2 linked regions of the Drosophila melanogaster genome follow. The protein of the gene in region 2 interacts with the protein of the main gene of each other region in a pairwise test. Each region holds a gene or a part of one and is shown on either strand. Other genes may lie near its edges. The genes, in order: Osi15 and Tsp42El.

Region 1 (4,553 bases), on a different chromosome or scaffold from region 2:
TAAGACAAGTTATTTCGGGCATAATAAAATGAATTTAAATAAATATTTATGTGAAGTATGTGACAATCTTTTGTGTGTTGATCCTTTTAATTTTTCTTATGAAGCTTATCCTGATGTACTCTGTGTCGTTGTGGTTGTAGTTGTGGTCCACTTGTTCCTGAATTTTTCTCCAAATCTTTCGAACAATTTGGTTCCATTGTTATTGAAAGGCGGGAATCGGAGCTGTCCAACATTTTCCACTTCCTCAACCACAGGGGCAGCTTCGATTGGCTGCTCGGTGTTCACAGCATCATCTTCAGTTATGAGGGGTTTTCCATCATCCTCGACAGGAAGTGCCCAGGCCAAGGATACCAAAAGGCCAACAATCAAGGCGAATTTAATCTGACAGCCAATGAGTTTGTTGCTTAAGCCGTTCATATTGATTCTGTTGACTTTTGGTCAGCATGAGTGGTGTTTTTATACCAACGCCAAGTGGGACATTTGATTAAACATCAATTAGGAAGTTGACGCAAAGAAAGCCACGGGCCCAAACTCAACTTTGCTAATATAATTAAGTGGAAATGTGTCTTCAATGGATTTGTTTTTGCAAGAGGTTCAAGGAAAGTGTTTAAGTAAAAGCCACTAATTTCACTTTCCAGCTTGATGCTCACACTCTTCCTAGTGATTTTTCAGAAAATACCTTTGAGACTCAATAAGGAAGCTTTGAGCCGGAAATTATACAAGTCATTGCCTTTTTAAAAGTATAATACCTGTACATTTCCAAAGTTTCCGACTCGGGCAAAAAGTTTAAAGATTCTATGGTTTTGCATTTGATGAATCATTTTTATTCAATTGCTTTAAGTTGTACGAATAAATACTTAGTAAGTAAGCTCTTTAGCAGGCATAATCTTCGTTGCTTTCGATGAACCTGAGTGACATGTACGACCGCCAAGAGACATGTGGATGGGGAAATGTGCAATAATTATGGCGCAATCATTGATTGGCCGTAGTATCCTTAAGCATTGTCCTTTGGGCTAGCCAAGAGTCGAGGGACCGTTTCAATAGTTCTCTTTTTTTGTGATTTTTTTTGGTATGTCGCAGCTAACTAACTAAATGTAACTAAATAATTATTGACTACGAATTAGGCCATTCTTCAGGAAAGTCTTAGAGGGATAGGTTGTGGAAATGGTGATGAAGTGGGGGGAAGTTGAAGAAGGGAGACGCTTTGGTAGGATAAGATATAGCAGGTGAAAGATAGAGGCTAGTACAGAGTGGGATGGATGGATCGGTGGGTGTTTTCCGGCTTAGAAGGGCTGGGCCAGACCATAGTGGTTGTAGGCCAGATCGGCGGCACCTGCCTGACCATTGCGGCTCCAGTCGGAGTGCACGATGTCGGCGTTCAGCGGGCTGCCGGTGATGTAGGCAGTGGTGATGTGTTCCTTCTTCTTGGCCAACAGATCCTTGAAGAAGGTGGCACCTGTGCGGGAAACGTGGGTAAAAAGTGCTATTCCTGAGATCATTAAAAGTAAACTCACCAGCCAGGATGAGGGCCAGGAAGGAGATGGCCAGAGCCTTCAGCGAGATGAACTTGATGATGGTGAACATAATCTTGACAACGACGGCCTTCTTCAGCTTCAGGGCCAAAAGAAGGGGCAGCAGCATCTTCTTCATGCGCTTGCTGCGGGACTCTGTTTATTCCGGGAGGGAGAAAGTAAAGAGAAATCGGGGTTTTAGCCATGCTCCTAAAAGTATTCAAGGCCTGGCAGTCGAGGTAAAGCTTTCACTTCGCTTCCCGTCAGCACAACTGAGTATGCTAGTAGTTTTGCTTTTGGCAGTTGGCTTTCTGCACAGCAGAGTGGACCTTAGTACGTTTAGCCTTAGTAAGTAGACTTTGAAGTGTTCGTTTACCGTACAGAACAGGAACGACTTGAGAGCCAGGACGGTTTACCAAAGCTATTCTCGTATGCGCACGAATGCCTCTGTTTTTGTAGTAATTAATAAAAATGTAACTTATAACTCGTTTAAAATTATTTCAAAATTCTTTGGCTATCAACTCACGTATTTACTACCATTCTATCGATTTATGTCTCTCAAAAACATACAAATTTTTAAATTCTGACCTAATATTAAGTATCTAAGATATTCAACGCAATATGAAAACTTTAAAAGCAAGTAGCTTAAATAGCTTTTTTTTCTTTGGATTAAACTATATTCTGTTTTTCAAATAAAGGAAACCAAGATCACTCACCATCCATGGCGCGTCCGGTGTACTCGTTCTCGGAGTTCTCGTCCTGCTCATCGCCGGAGAAGGAGAGGTTTAGCTCGTGGGTCTCCAGGTAGCGCTCGGCGCGGTCCTCGAAGGACTCGACGGCCTTGGATGCACCGAAGCTACGGCCCGACTCCGACCGGTCGATCCTCAGACCGCCGAACAGCGCGACGGACTCCTCGCTGTCTAAGCGGTTCAGCATGTTGACCAGGTCCCGCTCGGTGTTGTCCTGGGAGGGAAGGGCCATGGAACCGCACACAAGGCTGGCCAGCAGCACTACACATACGAATTTCGCGCACATTTTTATTAGCACTTGGGGGTGTCTTGACTTTGGGTAGGTTATAATCCGTGGGACGGCTGCCTGGAGCTGGTGAGTGCTGCCGATGTGAACGGGAATCGCTTTGTGATTAATTGAATGCACTGCCCCCGCGTTTTATACCATTTCGATTTGACGTCGATTGACCAATTTTGTGGCTAGAAATCGCGTGGCAGGCCAAAAATCCAAAACGCACCGCTCGCCGCTGCAATAACAATAACAATACCGAACGGCAATACCAAAAATCCAAAAGCAATTTATGCAAAGCATATGCGTATGCTACCTGGCCGGCAGTTTCTTGACCATATTTCCACGCACGTCGCGATGTCAACGAAAGGGAAGTGGCCAGTGGTCGGCCGGCTGAATATTATTTTTTTGTATATACCATACATATATTTTATATAAGCAAGTGGCCCGATTTCGGGTGCTCGACCGTTATCCGTATCCTAATTGGCATTCAATGGAGTCGCCGGTGCTACGTGTTGGGATTGCCTGCGCCAGATTCTTGGCCGGTTGTTCCTCTCCATTAGCTCCATCAGGGCTCACGATGGAGCGGAGAATATAGTGGTGGATCTGCGAGACCCACACGTATTTGGTATGCCCCGCCGGTGGTGACTTAATGCACAATTTGGCCCAGTTAGTTACTCTGGCGCTTTCAACGCTTTCGATTTCATTCTCCCTTTGTCAACTGTCGTTCGTGGCTTGTTTTCTATTTCAATTGCTTCTAAATCTGCCTGTGAAAGAAAGCTGAATTGTAGCACATCGCCGCATATATCTCTTTTCAATCGCAAAGTGACACTTTTATGAGCATAAGTAGAAAGTTTCTGGCAAACAATTAACATGCCGAACGGCCGTCACATGGCCACTAGAAACTCCAATTATGAGCAGGCCACCAACTTGCCAAAAACTAAATCCCCAGCTTATCAGCTCTTTTTCTCAACATTTTCTGTGTTCTTTTGGGTTTTTTTTTGTGTTCAGAAACAGAACCTGCCACAAGTTTTAATTGCCAGCCGCAAACTTGTTGCCGCCCAGCGAGCAAAGTTCCACATATTTGTTTTGGGGTCTGTCAGCATTTCAATTAAGCCCTGGGAAACTGGGAAAGTCTCTGGGCACAGGTGAGCACTGTCCACGTGCGTGGATTTGCGGATTATATTTTTTTCGGGTGCAATACTCTTGGTTTTATTCATACATTCGACTTGACTTGCGGGTGATGTGTGCGTGGTGTGTCAATAAATTAGTTAATTACATTTCGAATAAATTACTACAGGCTAAAGGTTTCAAAACGAAGGCACATCTGTTTGAGCTGTCTCCCAGCCGCTTCTACTGCTGCTGCTGGCCGGCGTAGGCCAATTGCTGGGCATCGGACCCATCCTCGCTGATGCTGCGGGCATAGGGATAGGACGAGGAGGCTCCCGAGCTCCAGCCGGCGCTGGCGGGTGCGGACCATGCGTTCGAGTTGTAGGCTCCGGCAAAGGAGTTACCTCCGAACTTGTTGCCGAATCCGCCCAGCAGGCGGGATCCGCCGACCAGAATGGCCAGGAAGAAGGCCAGCTTGGCCACGATCACGGCCTTGAAGGTCAGCAGGGCCAGAAACCCGAGCACCAGGGGAATGACGGCGAACAGCTTGGCGCCAATGGCCAGAGCCACGGGTCCCAGCATCTTCTTGATCTTGCCACGGCCTGTGATTGGATGTTAGGTAACCATGTTTTATCGTATCCCAAGTCAAAACCCACCTTCATCGAGGGCACGAGCCACCTGCTGGGTGGTCTCGGCGGGCAGCTTGAACTCCAGGTTGTGGGTGCTTAGGAAGTCGGCGGCACTAGAGACGGCCAGATCCACTAGACGACCAGTACGCTCATCGGCATTCTGGGGCAGCTCGGCATAGACATCCTGCTCGCTCATCGATTTTCCCGTGCGGGAAACGGGACTGGCGGGATCCCTAAAATGATATTGTAAGTTATAAATACATTTTCACATTTACTTAACTTTTAT
Region 2 (5,328 bases):
CATAACAGTTCGCTTGACTTTTGTTTGCGCAATTCGTTTGAAGAGCCCTCTAGTGGTCAGTTTTCTCCAACGCACAACATCACTGAAAAAAACTATCGCTCAACTTCAGTAAAATGTTTAGAGAGGTGGCTCTAAACACGAAGTTTATGTTGCTAAAAGAAAGAATATTTTCATATTCCGATGGATGTGCCCGCTGTAAGGAAAGTGCATGGATAGGAAAAAAAGAAACCGCTTTCGACTATTATATACCCTTTACACGAATCATTGGAGAGAAACATAAACATATATATGTAAGCCTTAACGCTTTTGCTTCCAACTTTTTGTTCCACATGTGCTCATAATTTGTTTTTGCGTGGACTAACTTAAAACATTTTATATAGTTATCGAGAACGTTCATACGGACGGACAAACGGACGGTCAAGGTGAAAAACTCAAAATATTTTGTATCACCGGTATCGCGAACCTATTTTGAAATCTTAATTATTGTCGAAAATATTGTTGAAAGTAATTTTTCTAAATATATTTGGTATTTTAAACGACATGTGTTTGGTACTTGTAGTTATGTACATATTATTTTAATATTCGAATGTGTTAAACATTGCTTTAATAAAAAGATTAACTCAGTTGCTTGGCAAGTAACGCTGGGTTTTCGTATCAAAAACAAACCATACACTGATGACACTTAGATTTGAGGAGTTTGGTTTCTTATTCAGTAAATATTCACTAATAGTTATATCGTCTCCGCCGGTTGGTGTAGTGAATGGCCAAGATGATGGCCAGCAATAGAATGACAGCCTATAAGAAATAAAGAAATGAGTTAGAAATTTGCTCCACCGTAATAGAAATAAAGAGCTCTTACGTTGAATCCGAGCAGACCCCACTCCAAATAGCCCAGAGTGGTTGCCTCATCTGCAAAAGCCTCCTCCACTTTGATGAGGCAGCCGCGCACATATAGATTCAGTGGATTCACACAGCTGTCGTCCTTGCAACAGCTACTTGGAACGGTATTGTTCCAGAATTTGATATCCAAGTAGTCTTGGGCACTGTCGCGGCCACAGCAATAGTACTAAAGTGATAGAAATATATAAACACCAAAATTAAAGGAGAAGGCTAAGCATACATAAATATGTACTTCAGCAGCTTTGCGCAATTTCTAATACTACATTATTAGAAATAAACATAAGCTAAAGCGTTATATTCAATTCAAACCATGTAAGATAACACTAGCTAAAAAAGAGCACGGCCCTAACGCCTATCTACCTTTTGCTTATGTACTTATGTATATAACAAAAAAAATTCCAAATTAAAGCACTCTTTTAATCTTTATTTTGGAAGCATTTGAACAAACAAACTAGCCTTTGCTTTGTTACATTGGCACTCACCGTTTTCTGAATAATATCCATACTGCCAGGCTTCGTCTGCTCCAGCTCCCACTGATTCTCCACCGTTTGAAGCGCGTACTTTTTAAATACATCTTTGGGATTCAGGATGATAAACGCCACTATAAGTAGCAGCAAAATCAGCAGCAGTGACGCATACTGCAAGGCAATTAGAATTATTAGCTCATGTATGATTCACCTAATTGCAATATTCAGTTACGTACCGTCCAGAGCATGCGCGGCGATTCGCGAACGGCTCCACAGCATCCAAACAGGGATATTACCAGGATAGTACCGCCCAGAATTAAGATGCCGATGGCATATGCATCTGGCATTGCTCCCCAGCCAAGGCCGCCAAAGATGAGCACCAGGATACCGAGTATCTAAAAGTCAGAAAATTAAATAGTCAATAAATATGTCCAGCATCCTCTAAATTATGAATATTATCTATCTATGTAAAAAATTGCCAAACAAAATTGGGTTTATAATCTCAGACCGCCTAGCCCTAAAAGTTTTTATAAAACACACATGCATAAAAGCAAAGATTAAAACAAGTCGAGTTCCCCGACTATCAGATACCCGTTACTCAGCTAGTGTGAATGCGAACGCTAATTTTTATATTTTTTCTGGAATATCGATAGATATTGGGGAATAAAATGAGAAAATTTAAAAATTGTTCAAAAGCTTGGACAAGCTCGATTTTGTGGGCGTTAGAGTGGGCGTGGCAGCATGGGTCAGCAAACTTACGCTGCGTCTTTGTCGCTAGAAGCTGCATGCTGAATCACAACCTTCTAGTTTTTATTGTTCCTGAGATCTCCATGTTCATACGGACAGACGGAAATGGCTATAGATCGACCTGTTCAAGCAAATATAGTATACGCTTTTACGAGTAATAGACGTAATTAAGAAAACAAAAAATGTCTCTTAAATTGTTTGAGCGACTGCGTTTTGGAATCATGACAACATTTTTTTAAAAGCGCTGAAGTGGGAAGTTCATACGGACAGAAAGACAGACGGACAAACGGACATGACCAGACCGAGTTGGCTAGAGAGTGTGATTAAGAATTTGTATACTCTCTAGGGTCGAAGAAGAATTCCAAAAGGATCAGTCAACAATCTATTAGGATTGGGCTTACATCAGACCATCGCGGCCTTGAGAAGGCCACAGAAAGTTTTGATGCATATGGGCACCGACTAATGCGTCGAGCTCGGCCTCATCGCTATTTTCATCATTATCTGGTGAATAATCCGGTTTCCATATTCCGCTCGAATTAGCCTTTCAAACGAAATCCGAATGCATGACGCACTTCAGCAACCTCGTTTCGCCGCTTGGCTAGCAAGCCCTCCTCTTGGCTTAAGGAACTAAAAGGCCGAGCAGAAGCCATTAACAATAGACACTGGCTAACACACACAGCCAGCCGCGAAGCGTTGTCATAAACCAAACACGCACCCGAGATGATATCATCCACCGACCAGGTGGACGTGGAACGGACAGCATAGACCCCAAACACCGAGGCTCCCCTCACACAAATTTCAAACCATCGCAATTAGCTGGCTATTTGTAGAAAAGAACCGGCAGATACGCAGATATATCGCTTAGACTCCCAAGGCACCATATGCCAATTCCAATTCGGTGCTCTACTTACCGCCCATAAGGCATTGAACAGGAACAGCGAGTACTTTATGGTGCCCGTTGCGCAACCCATTTCGAATGTTTTTCCACTTCAAACTTTTGCCTTTGGCTAGAATGCAACCGAATCGCAGTGCCACAAGTGCGGCAGTTTGCTGTGCCGCCGATTATTTTCAGTTTTTGAGTCCGTATCGGCGGAACCTGACTGAATCGGTTAGGAGTGCGCACTGGTGCGGCCACGGTCACGAGCAAACTGAGCTCCCCGAAAACTCTCTCGCTCGGAATCCGATCCGAGTCGAGCGGTCCGAAGCTCCAAAGCTGCCGCTTCTGCACCGTGGGTTCAATGAATAGAATAGCAGCTGTTCATGGAGCACCAAAATTATAGTGACGAACACTGCTCCTAATACTTAAGGCAATGCAGAGTGTTTCGGCACGAATCAAATGATATGGACTTCCTGTACGAATATGAAATACGTAATCAATTTTTAATCAAATATCTTCTCTAAGCAAGCTCTACGAAATTGATTCTTTTAAATTCATTTTCACAATTGAACAGTGATTGAGTTAAAATGATGTGCCCCACAGTGCCAGCTAGCAGTGTTTGTTAAAGCAAACAAAAGCAGCCGGGCACACACATTACTATACAGTAGAACCTCAATAACCCGCTCCCAGACGATAGCAAAAGTTCATTGCTTATTGTATTGATTTTCGTTGATACCATAGATGTTATTAAAATGAGAGGTTACAAAATATATCACTATCTTGTTATATTGATTTGTCAATTAATATACTTCGAGTGACTAAAATCCATTTAGCCGAATTCGCCTGCACTCGCAGTAGGCAAATCAAGAAAGTTAAAGGTGGCGGTGGCACTCTAGTGCGGCTCCCGCCATTCGGAAGCCAAACAGAAACTGAGGCGGGAAAGTTCGAAGCGTGGAGCTGGTTATGCTTGACAGAACTGAAGCGAAATCTATATGTCTCCGTTTGCCAGATGTTTAGCCGCGGTGTGTGTCTTATCGAGAGCGGAGTTGGGTCTAATCGACCACCGCCTCTCAAAGCAATTTACCAACGATCGAATTAATGCCGGTAAGATTGATTCAGCTCGATTGCGTCAGACACTCGGCACTGAATGACGCCATCAACATCACCGGATGAGCTCAGTTTCCGATGCGGAGTGCAGGATCCTGACTTCCACTATCAAAATAGAAACCCTAAATGCATTGCTCACTTTGTGTGAATCTTAAAAGTATAGGAGCTATATACCGAAAGACAGCTGAACTGACCCTGTTAGGCAAATACATAGTTACAAATACAAAGTTACTAGTTTAAAAATCACAATTTTAATCAGTTCGGATTGAACCCTTTGTATAATCGGAAGTATTCGTTTCATCGGGATACGCTTTTATTTCTCCTGGGAGCATCAAAAACTTTATACAAGATTACTGTAAAGGAATATTGGCGCCCTAATAATATATTCAGAATTCTACGAAAGTATTCCTTAGTAGGTGTAGCGAACGCGCTGCTTCCTGAATCTTCCGACCAAGTAAAAGGCGGCAATCATCATTAGAATCTGTAAAAACTCTGTAAGATTAGTCCCTCCATGTGTAGTTCACACATTTCACTCACGGTTATTCCCAGTGCTATCCAGTTGGTATCGTGGGCGTAGCTGAAGAGCACCACAAAGTTCTCACTGGACTTTTGGACGCAACCAGCTAGATAGTGGGGCATCTGGGGGTCCTCCTGGGGATAGCAGCTGGGCGGCAAGGTTTGACGACCGATGGCCACGTAGTCGTCGGGGCTATCACGCCCACAACACTCGTACTGTTAAGATAATTCATAAAAATGATAAACGATAATGCCAGCATATTAAATATATTCGATTAAAAGTGCATGATGCGAATGATCTTCGCCAGAATACGAACCACTGTCTGGTAAATGTCCATGGCGCCGGGTTCCACCAGCTCCTCGTCCCATTTCATCTGAACCTCCTCGGCGGCGAACTTCTCTATGTATTCCTCAGTGAACTTGAAGCGGAAGATGCCTAGCAAGCTGATTATTAGCTGAGCCAACAGCAAGAAGCCGTACTGTTGACATACAACACACAACATAGAGTGAGTGAATTACCAAACGGATGACATAGCGTTTCCACTCACCGTTGCGGTCATGCACACGTTCTCCATGCAGATTCCACAGCATCCCAGTACAGCCGAAACGAAGATAATGCCACCGAGTCCATATAGAAACAGAATGTAGGCGATAGGGGCTTTCGAGAGGGCCAACGTTGCAATGGCTATCAGGGATAGACCCGAAAGCTACAGA

What was found.
Region 1: the proteins of Tsp42El (region 2) and Osi15 interact in a two-hybrid assay, tested with the Drosophila melanogaster proteins (one large-scale study listed by BioGRID).

What each region holds. Positions count from the first base shown.
Region 1 is NT_033777.3:6,299,906-6,304,458, reverse strand, and holds Osi15 (osiris 15), read right to left. Parts: upstream 2,656-4,553; 5' UTR 2,547-2,655; coding exon 2,228-2,546; intron 1,668-2,227; coding exon 1,515-1,667; intron 1,457-1,514; coding exon 1,284-1,456; 3' UTR 806-1,283; downstream 1-805. Other genes in the region: CG46396 (uncharacterized protein), read right to left, coding at 106-417; Osi14 (osiris 14), read right to left, coding at 3,882-4,240, 4,295-4,500.
Region 2 is NT_033778.4:7,043,711-7,049,038, reverse strand, and holds Tsp42El (tetraspanin 42El), read right to left. Parts: upstream 3,271-5,328; 5' UTR 3,086-3,270; coding exon 3,026-3,085; intron 1,763-3,025; coding exon 1,604-1,762; intron 1,539-1,603; coding exon 1,383-1,538; intron 1,067-1,382; coding exon 860-1,066; intron 796-859; coding exon 724-795; 3' UTR 501-723; downstream 1-500. Other genes in the region: Tsp42Ek (tetraspanin 42Ek), read right to left, coding at 4,508-4,579, 4,636-4,830, 4,932-5,093, 5,163-5,321.